Linked DNA regions of Elephas maximus indicus. Each later gene encodes a partner of the first gene's protein in a complex. Links are inferred from orthologs where the notes say so. Each region holds a gene or a part of one and is shown in the gene's direction. Other genes may lie near its edges.

Evidence for each region. Proteins that work in one complex are often made in the same cells at the same time.
Region 2: PLRG1 (region 1) and CRIPT share a complex: the UniProt entries of both Homo sapiens proteins name them as parts of the minor spliceosome. The link is inferred for Elephas maximus indicus from reciprocal best matches to the Homo sapiens genes PLRG1 and CRIPT.
Region 3: PLRG1 (region 1) and GPKOW share a complex: the UniProt entries of both Homo sapiens proteins name them as parts of the minor spliceosome. The link is inferred for Elephas maximus indicus from reciprocal best matches to the Homo sapiens genes PLRG1 and GPKOW.

The regions. Positions count from the first base shown.
Region 1 is NC_064831.1:28,403,774-28,407,522, forward strand, and holds the start of PLRG1 (pleiotropic regulator 1), read left to right. Parts: upstream 1-1,150; 5' UTR 1,151-1,256; coding exon 1,257-1,265; intron 1,266-2,579; coding exon 2,580-2,686; intron 2,687-3,700; coding exon 3,701-3,749. Other genes in the region: FGB (fibrinogen beta chain), read right to left, coding at 464-484. UniProt on the Homo sapiens protein: Involved in pre-mRNA splicing as component of the spliceosome. Component of the PRP19-CDC5L complex that forms an integral part of the spliceosome and is required for activating pre-mRNA splicing.
Region 2 is NC_064844.1:15,567,639-15,571,387, reverse strand, and holds the start of CRIPT (cysteine-rich PDZ-binding protein), read left to right. Parts: upstream 1-842; 5' UTR 843-933; coding exon 934-949; intron 950-3,749. Other genes in the region: PIGF (phosphatidylinositol-glycan biosynthesis class F protein), read right to left, coding at 216-305. UniProt on the Homo sapiens protein: As a component of the minor spliceosome, involved in the splicing of U12-type introns in pre-mRNAs. Involved in the cytoskeletal anchoring of DLG4 in excitatory synapses.
Region 3 is NC_064846.1:122,471,315-122,475,063, forward strand, and holds the start of GPKOW (G-patch domain and KOW motifs-containing protein), read left to right. Parts: upstream 1-1,404; 5' UTR 1,405-1,482; coding exon 1,483-1,658; intron 1,659-2,378; coding exon 2,379-2,536; intron 2,537-2,630; coding exon 2,631-2,755; intron 2,756-3,749. UniProt on the Homo sapiens protein: RNA-binding protein involved in pre-mRNA splicing. As a component of the minor spliceosome, involved in the splicing of U12-type introns in pre-mRNAs.

The DNA.
Region 1 (3,749 bases):
ATCAGTGACTATTTTTACAGAAAATTAGTTCTTAGGCCAAACTCACACTCAAATTTGTAGATGATTGTTTTTTCAAGTAAAATCATGACCTTGATGTTTCAATGAATGAAAAATTAAAGCATTTTTAAATAAAATTTAAAAATTGCTATACTTTTGGTACCATTTTGGGTTTTTTTTTTTTCCTCTCAAAGAATATGTAGTATGCTCCGTAGACACCATCAGTGGAACTCATTATGGTTAAGAAACAGAGCCAGTCAAATGTCGAGTTAAGTTTGCAAATAACCAGCTCCATCGATTTTCCTTTTCACATATGAAAATAATTGAACAGGATTGATAACTGCAGATTCTATCTGCGTAAAAAGCAAGCCAAAAATATCAATACTTTGGCACCAATGTGTTTATAAAAATAAAAATGGTTTAAGTCTTCAATCTTCTTCCATCAGCTTTGAAAAGCTGTACCTACCTTTGCTGAAGTCACATTCATCAGAAACAGGAGTTACGCAGTTTTGAGAGACTTCTTTAAAAAACCTATTTATCTAACAGAAAATAAATTCGGGGTTTTGTCAGATCTTCCTAACGCAAAATTCCTTCACATATCACTTCCCTCAAAATTTTTCAAACGGAGACAATTACTCAGCGACATCGACTCATTAACCGTTTTAGTGGACGGTGTAAGCGGGACTGTTTCAGGCTACAACGGCGACTAAACTCTTCCAGCCAGGTAGTGGGCGGCGACTAAAGGCTTCAGCAAGGTAGTGGGATTAGGGACATAAAGCGCGGAGGCGAACCCCAAAGAGGGGAGACCTTAGAGGAGTCTTAGCGCCGACTGGGAAATCTTCGCTTTCCAGACCCTCACTAAAGCTGATTTCATAAGCTCTCTGAATAAAAAGCATTTAGTTGCCGAGCAATACAGTGCAAACAACTACGGCGCCAATGCAAAACATTTAAAGCGGCGGATAAGACAGAAAACATGCTCATTTCAACAGTTCTAGAGACAAGACAAACGCAGCCACGCTCCTCGAGGAGCCTCTGGCGCTCTGTCCCGAGACTCCGCCCCCAGAGGCGGCCCCGAGGAGAAAGGCCCGCCCCTCGTGCCCAAGACCACCTACGGACAACCAGCGCGCCTGCGCACAATTACGTCATATCCGGCGCCAGGGCGCGCGATTGCGGAAGGGGCTGCACAGTTGTGGCGGCGGCCTTTGCGTTGGTGATTAGTGTACCGTTCCTGCCGGAGAGGCGGATTTCACGGCAGCATCATGGTCGAGGTAGAGTGACACCTAGGCGCTGAGGAGTCGTTTGGCTCTGAACTGCTTTTCTCTGGCGGCGGGCGTGGGTGATAGCGTGTGTTGGGAATCTGGGGCGAGAGAGGCTGCGAGGGGAGGCTGTTTTGCCGAGGCCGGGTGGTCTCTTCTTAAGGTTTTCGGGGAGGGAAGAGGCGGGATGAGAGCACGAGTTTGAGGCGGGAAGCCTGAGATAATTTATTCAGTCCTCAATTGGCCCTTAGGAGCTGCGCCCTGTCCCCGTAGGTGAGGCTTCTGTTGATGTTCGACCACTGGTAGTCGCCGCTCGCAGGGGAGTGCCAGTAATTCTGGATCCTTAAAGACTGCTGTTGTTTTGTATCTTGGTTCCAGTTGGTCTCTTATCGCAGCTCTTCCCCCAGGAAAACCTGCCATTCTTGAGTTTTCACATCTTTTCCTAGATTGAATACCTATTCTGTTAGCAGGTCTTGTCTACCTTGTCTCAGAAATAGTTCGACTCTCTCCACTTTTCTCCATACGCGTCGCAATCACCTTCATTCAGGCCAACATCATCTTTTGCCTGGACTGCTGCATTAGCTCCCAGCTGGTCTCCTTGCTTCCATGTTTGTGCCCCCTAAATTGATCTCTTTAAAACGTAAGTTGGTCACGCCTTCCTTGGTAAAAACCCTTTGCTGGCCTTATGTTACCACTAGGACAAGAATACGGATTATTGTAATGGTTTTAAAAGACCTTACCTGATCTGGACTTTGCCTATTCTTGCAACCTCATTTTGCAACAAGACCCACCCTCTCGCCTAACGCACACACACAACTGCCCTGGAGCTCCTGGCATTATTGCAGTTACTGAGCATCTTTGTACGTGAGGGCTTCCATCTGTCCAAATTGTCCTTACCTCCCCTCTGCAGGGTAACTCAGCCTCTGCTTAAATGTCACCTCAGAGAGACCTTTCCTAACCATCCTGCGTAATTTCCCTTCTCCTTTTTGTGTCTCAGCCCTTGCTTGTTACTTTCATAGCAGTAATAAAAATGTGGGACTATTTTGCTTATTTTTATTTCTCTCTTTGTCCTTGAGCAAAGGGAGCTTGACTCTTTTCATCATTCTTTTGATAGGTTTTAGCGCAGTGCCTGCCAGACACATAGTGTGCACTGAATAAATTACTAATCTCAGGCTTTGCTCAGTTAATGTACCTGGGACTCTAGCCAAAGAGCAGCTTCCTCCTCTTTTCTAAACTTGACTCTTACAGCTTGCTACTGGGAGCAGTGGTGAGTGGTTAAAGCAGTGGTGAGTAATTTGTAGCTACATTTGCACTCTTTCTTTTCAGGAGGTACAGAAACATTCTGTGCACACACTTGTGTTCAGGTCATTGAAGAGGACCCATGACATGTTTGTAGCTGATAATGGAAAACCTGTGCCTTTGGATGAAGAGAGGTAGGCATAGTTTTTTTTCAATTGCTACAATTTTTAAACTTCTAACATTTGGGGAAGAAGGGGACTATTTAATCCTTTAAAGATTAATTAGTAATACTAACAGTCATAAGGTAGCTCCGCAGTAATGAGTGTTGCTGTAGCATAATTTAAGCTGATATAACTTTTTTTTTTGGCCTTACTGTTCACAGTAAAAATCTCATTAATTAATTGCATTTCGCAAATACCCAGTAATTAGGAGAGCCCCTTTCAGGTGTTTTATTTTATAATCAAATCACTTTGTATGTGCTTTCAGCTTCCCGCTGCTCTCAGAGCCTTGCTGAGCTGAAATTGTACCTGGCCAGTACCTCTCCTCCCACCTTTTCTCGTTAGTATGATGAAGATTTTTGAGTGATGGCATATTTTTGGTTCTACATCTCCAGCTCCAGTCTGGGATTGCATTATGTGCAGTGTTCCTTCTTTGTCCTACCCTTCGTTTAGAATCTTAATTCCTCAGACAAGCATTTATGTTCGATTTATAAAGTAGACTATACTTAAAAATAATACAAGTGTGCTTCTCTTTAAAATGTTGAACTAATTAAGTACTTTGATTAGTTCTAACTAACTTTAGATAAATCCAATAAAAATTGTTATAGAAGCTTTTACTGTATTTTTACACTGGAAAGAATTTATCAGTCTCTATATTTTTTTTCATATATTTTTAGATCAATTGGACTCTTGGTATCTCAACATGAAAGAGTTTGTATTAGGTAACAAGCTAAAATACTGCTTAGACTTCATGGATGCTATGTGGTAGAATGTGAGCAAAAGTAAACATGATATGGAAATGCACTTAGAAATTTTTGAAGTTAAAGTTAAAATGGTATTTATTTAAAATCTTAATAGAAACTTTTTCTACATGGCTAGGCAAACTTAAGTTATTTAAGTACTTGTTCTCAGGCTAGCTATAAACATTTGCAGTGGTGAATATATTTAAATTATTTAAAAATATGTTCTACATTTATACTTTTTAAATAGTCACAAACGAAAGATGGGAATCAAGCTTCGTAATGAGTATGGCCCTGTG
Region 2 (3,749 bases), on another chromosome or scaffold:
CCACCTGATATCAATGGATTTGGATCTAAGATAACGAGCAGTACCCATACTCCATGTTTGTTGAATGAATGCCCGAACGAGTAGGTAGAGGTTGCCCACAAACAAACGCAGGGGCCCTTCCTGAGAAACAAGCACTGTTAGGCCCTGGCGTGCCCGGGAAGACACCTAACAGGAGCCCCATGGGAAGGCCACCGCCCTGGCGCCGTCGGTTTCACCTGGCTCAGATCGACGGGTATTACAGCCGGTGAGAAGGCTCCTCTGAGCTGCTCCCAGAGAAGCCTTCCTGGGAATCGCGGGACGTCCATCTGCAGCCCCACCCCAAACTGGTCGATCAGGGCTCTGCCCAAGCTTCACCCGGCGGGATTACAGGTGGCAAAGAGCACAGGCGGTGGACACCAGAGAAAACAGGTACAGAGGCAAAAGTCGGATCCGAACCACAGTCGGTCCATCAGGGAAGCCCCTGGGGTCACGCCGGAATGGTGGCGCTCGAGCGGACGGTGGGGCACAGAGACTCGCGCCCACTGCGGCCGTTGCTGGGGGCTGCTCGCACCTCCGGGGGACGAGCGAGCCGGGGGCTCCAGCTGGGCTTACCTAACTCTCCCGCCCGCGGATGGGAAGGGGAGGCTGCCGCCACCCACCATCAGGTGCGACTCGCTGCCCTGACCCTCGCGCAGGCGCAAGGTCGTGGGGGCGGAACCCGAGCCCCAACAGCCAATCGCAAAGGAGAGGAGGCGGGCATATGGAGAAGCCCCGCCCACCGGCTCGCGTTTATTCCTCCCGCGGCTTTCCAGGTGTAGGATAGGCCGGAGCTCGGGGTTGAGAGGCCGGAAGTAGATCGACGTACCCGGAAGGAAAATCCTTTTCGGGTTGTAGTGTTGATGTTTGCGAGCTGCTGCTGCTATTGTTGTTAAGGGAACCGTCGTCTTCTGAAGGATGGTGTGCGAAAAATGTGAGTTAAGGGGCCGGTTCTGCGGGAGAAGGAGGCTAGCGAACCTAGGTGGACTTCCCGGGACCGTTGCCTTTCTTTTTCTTCTTCTCACAGGTCTCTTCATTCTAGTCTCTGTTCTGCTACCCTGCCCTTTGACCATTCACCCCCCTCTCCAGCTACCAAGCCAAACCCAATGCCGTCGAGTCGATTCCGACTCATAGCGACCCTGTAGGACAAAGTAGAACTGTCCCCTGGGGTTTCCAAGGAGCGCCTGGTGCATTCAAAATGCCGACCTTTTGGTTACCAGCCGAGCTCTTAACCGCTGCGCCACCAGGGCTCCAAGTGACCATATTCTACCAAAAATCACTGCTGCCATCGAGTCGATTCCGGTTCATAGCGACCCTATAGGACAGTAGAACTGCTTCCTCCAGCCCCGATCTCATCCCACATAGCTTCTTGACTGATTCCTTCACCTCATAGACACTCGGGTTTGGAATGGATCTTAAAAATCACATCTATAGTATCTTGTTGCCAGAGGTAGCAAATAAAAACACAGGATGTTCAGTTAAATGTAAATTTCAGATAAACCACGGATTATTTTTTTAGTATGAGTGTGTCACTTGGGTCTTGGCCATGTTTGTTGTCCCTTGCTATCTTTAGGACATACTTTACTAAAACTATTATTCATTGTTTATCTGAAATTCCAGTTTAACTAGGCAGGTGAGGGTGGAGAGACTTCATCTCAGTTACTTCGGACATTTTACCAGGAGGGGCCAATCCCTGGAGAAGGACATCATGCTTGGTAAAGTAGAGGTCATTGAAAAAAGAGGAAGACCCTCAACAAAATGGATTGACACAGTGACTACAACGGTGGGCTCAAACATACCTACTATTGTGAGGATGGCACAGGACTGGGCAATGTTTTATTCTGTTATATGTGGGGTCGCTATGAGTTGGAACAGACTCCAGGGGACCTAACAACATTTTTCTGTCAACCCTAAGTCACCCTCCCATCCAATGGTTTATATATTCTTTTCATGAATATCTACAGTATTGGGGCAGACAGGGATGGGAGAATCTCACCACCTCCAGAGCCGTTTACGTAGACATCGTTGGCTTTTAGAAAAGCCTACCTGCCTGTAGTTGCCACCCATTGATTCTAATGCAGACCCTTGAAATTTGTAGAAAACACCTCATGGCTTTTTAATCTTGTTGTTAGTTGCTGTCCATTCGATTGAGACTCATGGTGTTACTTCATAGTGTTGTCTTGGCTGTATCTTAATGGAAGCAGATCATCAAGTCTATTCTTCTGAGGTACCACTGGATGGGTTCAAACTGCCAACGTTTAGGTTAGCCTCTGAGAGCAAACCGTTTGTGCCCCCTACCCACTACCGTCGAGTCGATTCCGACTCATAGCGACCCTATAGGACAGAGTAGAACTGCCCATAGAGTTTCCAAGGAGCGCCTGGCGGATTTGAACTGCTCACCTCTTGGTTAGCAGCCGTAGCTCTTAACCACTATGCCACCAGGGTTTCCTTGTGCCGCGTAGGGACCTTTTTTTGATCTTCAAGCTGTTTATATTTAGCTTAAAAACAGCTGTCATATCCCCAAGTCTCATATCTTCTGGTTAAACATGTCTGGCTCTTTTCTCTCATTAAGCTTTTTTTAATTATAACTTCATTGAGATACAATCCACATAGCATACAATTCCCCCGCTTAAAGCGTACAATTCAGTGGTTTTTAGTATATTCACAGGATTGTGCAGCCCTCACCACGATGCATTTTAGACCATTTTCATCGCCTCAAAAAGCACATTAAACTTTTCACGTTGACATACTTTAACTGTTTTCCTTCCTGCACACAGCAGAGTTTGTTTGGCTGGTTTTTTGAGTGAATGTGACTTAATTATTTTCCAGTTATGCACCTGCCCTGACATCTTTTCTGTTCCATTGTGCACTTCTTAAATGTGTAAGTTTGGCCTTCCATGTAACTTGGGTTAATTTTGTGTAGTTTAACTTTTGAGAGGACAGGAGTTCTGTCTGGTTTTGTTTGTTATGCATAATACCCCTTAGTACTTTAAGTGCTTTGTCCCAGGAAAATTGAAAATACTGGGGAAACTGTGAGAGTTAATTTCTCAAGGTACACAGTAATTTTGGGAATCCAAGATCAGATGTGGTACTAAAATATACATATTTGATTCTGGGACATGATGTGTATCATAAAAGCTTGTTCCCTTTTTTCTTCTCTGCTGTTCTGTAAGTCTAGCCCTTTATTATATCTTTGGTCAAATACCTTCCTACCACCTAGACCATCTTGTTCCTTAAATGAAAATATACTCTCTCTATTGTATTTTTCTTATCTCCCAATACATCCACTCATTCTACTCTATAAATAAGCTCAGATCTCTCCCATACATAAAGCTGCACTCTCAAGTATCCACCTTAGCTCTCTCTTTCCATTCTCTGTAAAATTTTCAGAGACTTGGCTACATTCATTGCCTCCAGATTTTCACAGTTGCCTTTGAGCACCTTGCAAACTTACTTTCATCTTACCACATTTCTGAAAGGATTTTCAAAAGTTTGCCAGTGATCTGGTCACCAAGGTCAATGACCTTTTTTTCAGTCCTGCTTTACTTCTTTCTACGCTTCTTTAGCATTCTGCTCTTTAAGTTTTCTTATTTCTCCTTCCTCTCTTAAAGTAGATGTTCCCCAGTGGTCCATCTTTGATCTTCTTTTCTCTACTTTTTTTTTTTTTTCGCTTTTTCTTTGGAAGTGTTGGGCTTCAAGGAGTACCTCTATGCAGATGAGTGTTGAGTCCATGC
Region 3 (3,749 bases), on another chromosome or scaffold:
CATGTGAAAGCAGGACAATGAATAAGGAAGACCGAAGAAGAATTGACACTTTTGAATTGTGGTGTTGGCGAAGAATATTGAATACACCATGGACTGCCAGAAGAACGTACAAATCTGTCTTGGAAGAAGTACAACCAGAATGCTCCTTAGAAGCAAGGATGGCGAGACTGTGTCTTACATACTTTGGACATGTCAGGAGGGATCAGTCTCTGGAGAAGGATATCATGCTTGGCAAGGTGCAGGGTCAGTGGAAAAGAGGAAGACCCTCAACAAGGTGGATTGACACAGTGGCTGCAACAATGGGCTCAAGCCTAACAACGATTGTAAGGATGGCTCAGGACCAGGCAGTGTTTCGTTCTGTTGTGCATAGGGTCGCTATGAGTTGGAACGACTCCACAGCACCTAACAATGACAACATTTTGTACATTAGGTCCTTAAACCATTTTGAATTTTTGTGTGTGCATATAGTGTGAGGCATGGATCCTGTTTCATTTTTCTGCATGTGGAAATCCAGTTTTCCCTAACACCATTTATTGAAGAGACTCTTCTTTTCCCATGAAATGGACTTAGCACCTCTGTCAAAAATCAGTTGACCATAGACTTGTGGGTGTATTTCTGGACTCTCAATTCTATTCCATTGGTCTCTGTGTCTATTGTTATATCAGTCCCAGGAAGTTTTGATTATTGCAGCTTTATAATATGTTTTAAAATCATGAAGCGTGAGTCCTCCTACTCTGTTCTTCTCTTTCAACATTCCTTTAACTATTCGGGGCCTCTTGCTATTCCACGTGAAGTAAAGGGGTGAATTTTTCTGTTTCTGTAAAGAAGACTGTTGGAATTTCGGTCGGGATTCAGTTGAATTTATAGATCACTTCGGATAGTATTGACATCTTAACAATATTAAGTCTTCCACCCCAAGAACATGGAACATCTTTCCATTTATTTAAGTCTTAATCTTTTAGTTTTTTTTTTTTTTAATAATTTTCATTGTGTAAGTCCTTCACGAACCTGGTTAGGTTTATTCCTAGGTTTTTTTTTTCTCTCTCTTACATGTTGTTGTAAATGGTGATTTTTTTCTTAGTGATTTATTTTATCTACACTTTCCACATCAGTAGGGCAAGGTGCTCAGTAAATATTGTCATATGCCTACATGAATGAATTAATAACTGCCAGTGGGTTAGAAATGAATCGCCCTTCCAGCACGTCCGTATAGGTCGCTCTGAGTCGAAGGTGTGTTGTTGTTGTTTTCGTCCAGCACACCCATCCCCTGAAGAACTACATTTCCCGGGATGCTTGTCTTGGCGCCTTCATATGAAGTGCCAAAAGAGCGACATTAGTTGTTATGGCCCCCATATCCGCCGTCGCCGGGGTCGCAGTGTTTTATGGGAAAGGTAGTTCTTGCGCTGTTCGGCCGGCACTCAACGAACAGAGCCAGACTGAACTTCCTGGCAAACAGCCCCGCGACCTGGCAAGCGGGGCAAGATGGCGGACGCTGAAGAGGGTGTTTCGCGGCCGGCAGCGGTCTCTACCGCCCCAATTTCTTTTGGCTTTAGTCGCACGTCCTCCCGGAGGCGGGTGGTGGACCTAGGAGACAGAGCGAGGGCCGCCCCGGAGGAGAAGGATTTCTTGAAGACTGTGGAGGGAAGGGAGCTGCAGAGGTGAAGCGCTGGTTCCCTCACCCCCTGGAAATCGGTGCGGTGGGCTCAGGAGGGATGGCGGTATCTGAGTTGCTTGTCATAGTGAAGGTGGCCTTGAAAGCCTGAAGCACAGCCTGAGGAAATTCGTGGAAGCGAGAAGGCGCGAGTTTGTAGGAGGGGTGGGGAAATTGGGCCTGATAGCGTGGGAATTGAGAAGAGGGGATGTATTAGTGACAGGGAGTGTCTTTAGGACTTGGGGACCCTAAGGTGTGTGCGTTCTAAGAGAGAAAAAGGAGAGGAGGATGACAGGATCCCCTAGTGTCTCAACTGAAGCGATGGGGCTTCTTCGGTATGGGGAACGGGATAGAGCCGCAGATTCAGGTTGAGGGAGGCCATTTATCAGCTTAATACGGAAAGGGGAGCCTGAGGGACCTGAGAGAGGGGCTTCTAGAAGAAGGCGAAGGTGAGCCACTGTGGAAGCCATGGAAGTGGGTCTTGGAATGAACAGAAAGTCCAGAACTGATTCTCTGAAGGAACCATTTAAGAGTTGGAGAAGGAGGAAGAATCCAGAGAAGATACCAGCAGAGACATAACAGGAGAATCATTCAAGAGAATGGAGGGCATGTTCCATGGGGCAGGGGATGAGTTTGACTGTTGTATTTTCTCTGGATAAAGGGATGTGGCTCAGAACCCACTGACCACGTTAACTCTCCCAATCTCACTCCTCTATGTTGGCATCAGTGTGAAGCCCTCAGAAGCCCCTAAGGAACTTGTCATCCCTTTGATCCAGAATGGACATCACAGGCAGCTACTGACCCAGACCCCTGGACCATCCACAGATGCTGAGACCTTAGTGGATGGGGTGCTGCTGTCCCAGGCTGTGAAGGAACTCATTGAGGGTAAGTGACCTCTACCCCTCACCCTGCCCCAATAATGGCAGAAGGGGAGGAAGGGTAGAGTGGTACCTCATTGCTCCCTCCTGTTCTTCCTTAGAATCCAAGAAGTCTCTGGAGGAGAGAGAGAATGAAGGTGTCGACCCCACGCTCGCTATCCCCATGATCCAGAAAGGATGCATCCCCAGTGGGGAAGGGGCAGACAGTGAACCCCAGGCTGAGACAGTGAGCTGGCCCCTTTCCTCTCTCCTGCGCCAGCCCCTCTTCGCCCTATCTACCAGGCTTGCCTCCCTGCAGGAAAAGTCTGTGTGAATTAGAAGCCTGCTGCCTATCCCCTGCTCCTTTTATCCTTTTTAGAATCATTTTTTTAATCCAAATACTGGGGTTTGGAAAAAGTACATGGATTCTTGGGCTAACTGAGTGAGATGTAGAGGAGAAGGAGCAGGAAAAACAAAGGCCCTGAGGTTAGACTCTGCCTGGGGTGTTTGAGGAACACCAAGGAGACCGTGCTGGCTGGAATGGAATGAAGGAGGGGAGGGTAATAGATGAGATCAGAAAGGTAGTGGAGGCTAGACCATGTAGTGCCTTGTGGGCCATGGTAAGGACTTCGGCTTTACTGTGTGTGAGGTGAGAGCCATAGGAGGGCTCCTAGCAGAGGAGGAAGGTGACCTGACTTACAGCTTGACAGGGACCTTCTGGCTTCTGTGAACAGAAGAGACTTGTATGTGAAGGTAGAAGCAAGTGGACCAGTGAGGTGATTATTGCAATAGTCCAGGCGAGAGATGATGGAGACTTAGATCAGAGTGAGGCCTGGAAGGATAGATGAGATTTACTGAGAGGGGGAAGAGCAGGGTGAGTACTCCTAGTGGGAGCAATGGCCTGGCCAAAGGCCGGGTGTCAGGAAATCAGCATGGTTTGTGTCCATCAGGGAGGCAACTTGTAGTAGACCTGGAGCTAATGGCAAATGCAAAGCATCGAGAGGGGTGATAGTGGGAGGTGATAACAGCAAAGGTAAGGGGTGTGTCCACAGAAGTAACCAAGTCTGTCTTTTGTCCCTATGGGCCCCACTTTTTACCTCTTCATTCACAAATGTTTTGCAGTGCCTTTTGGGGGCCTAGTTCTCTTACAGCCCCAGACTACCCTTTCTACTGAACTTTTCTCATCAGCCTTCAAATGTGTTCTGGTTTCATTGCTCTTAAAAACAAACAACAACAACACC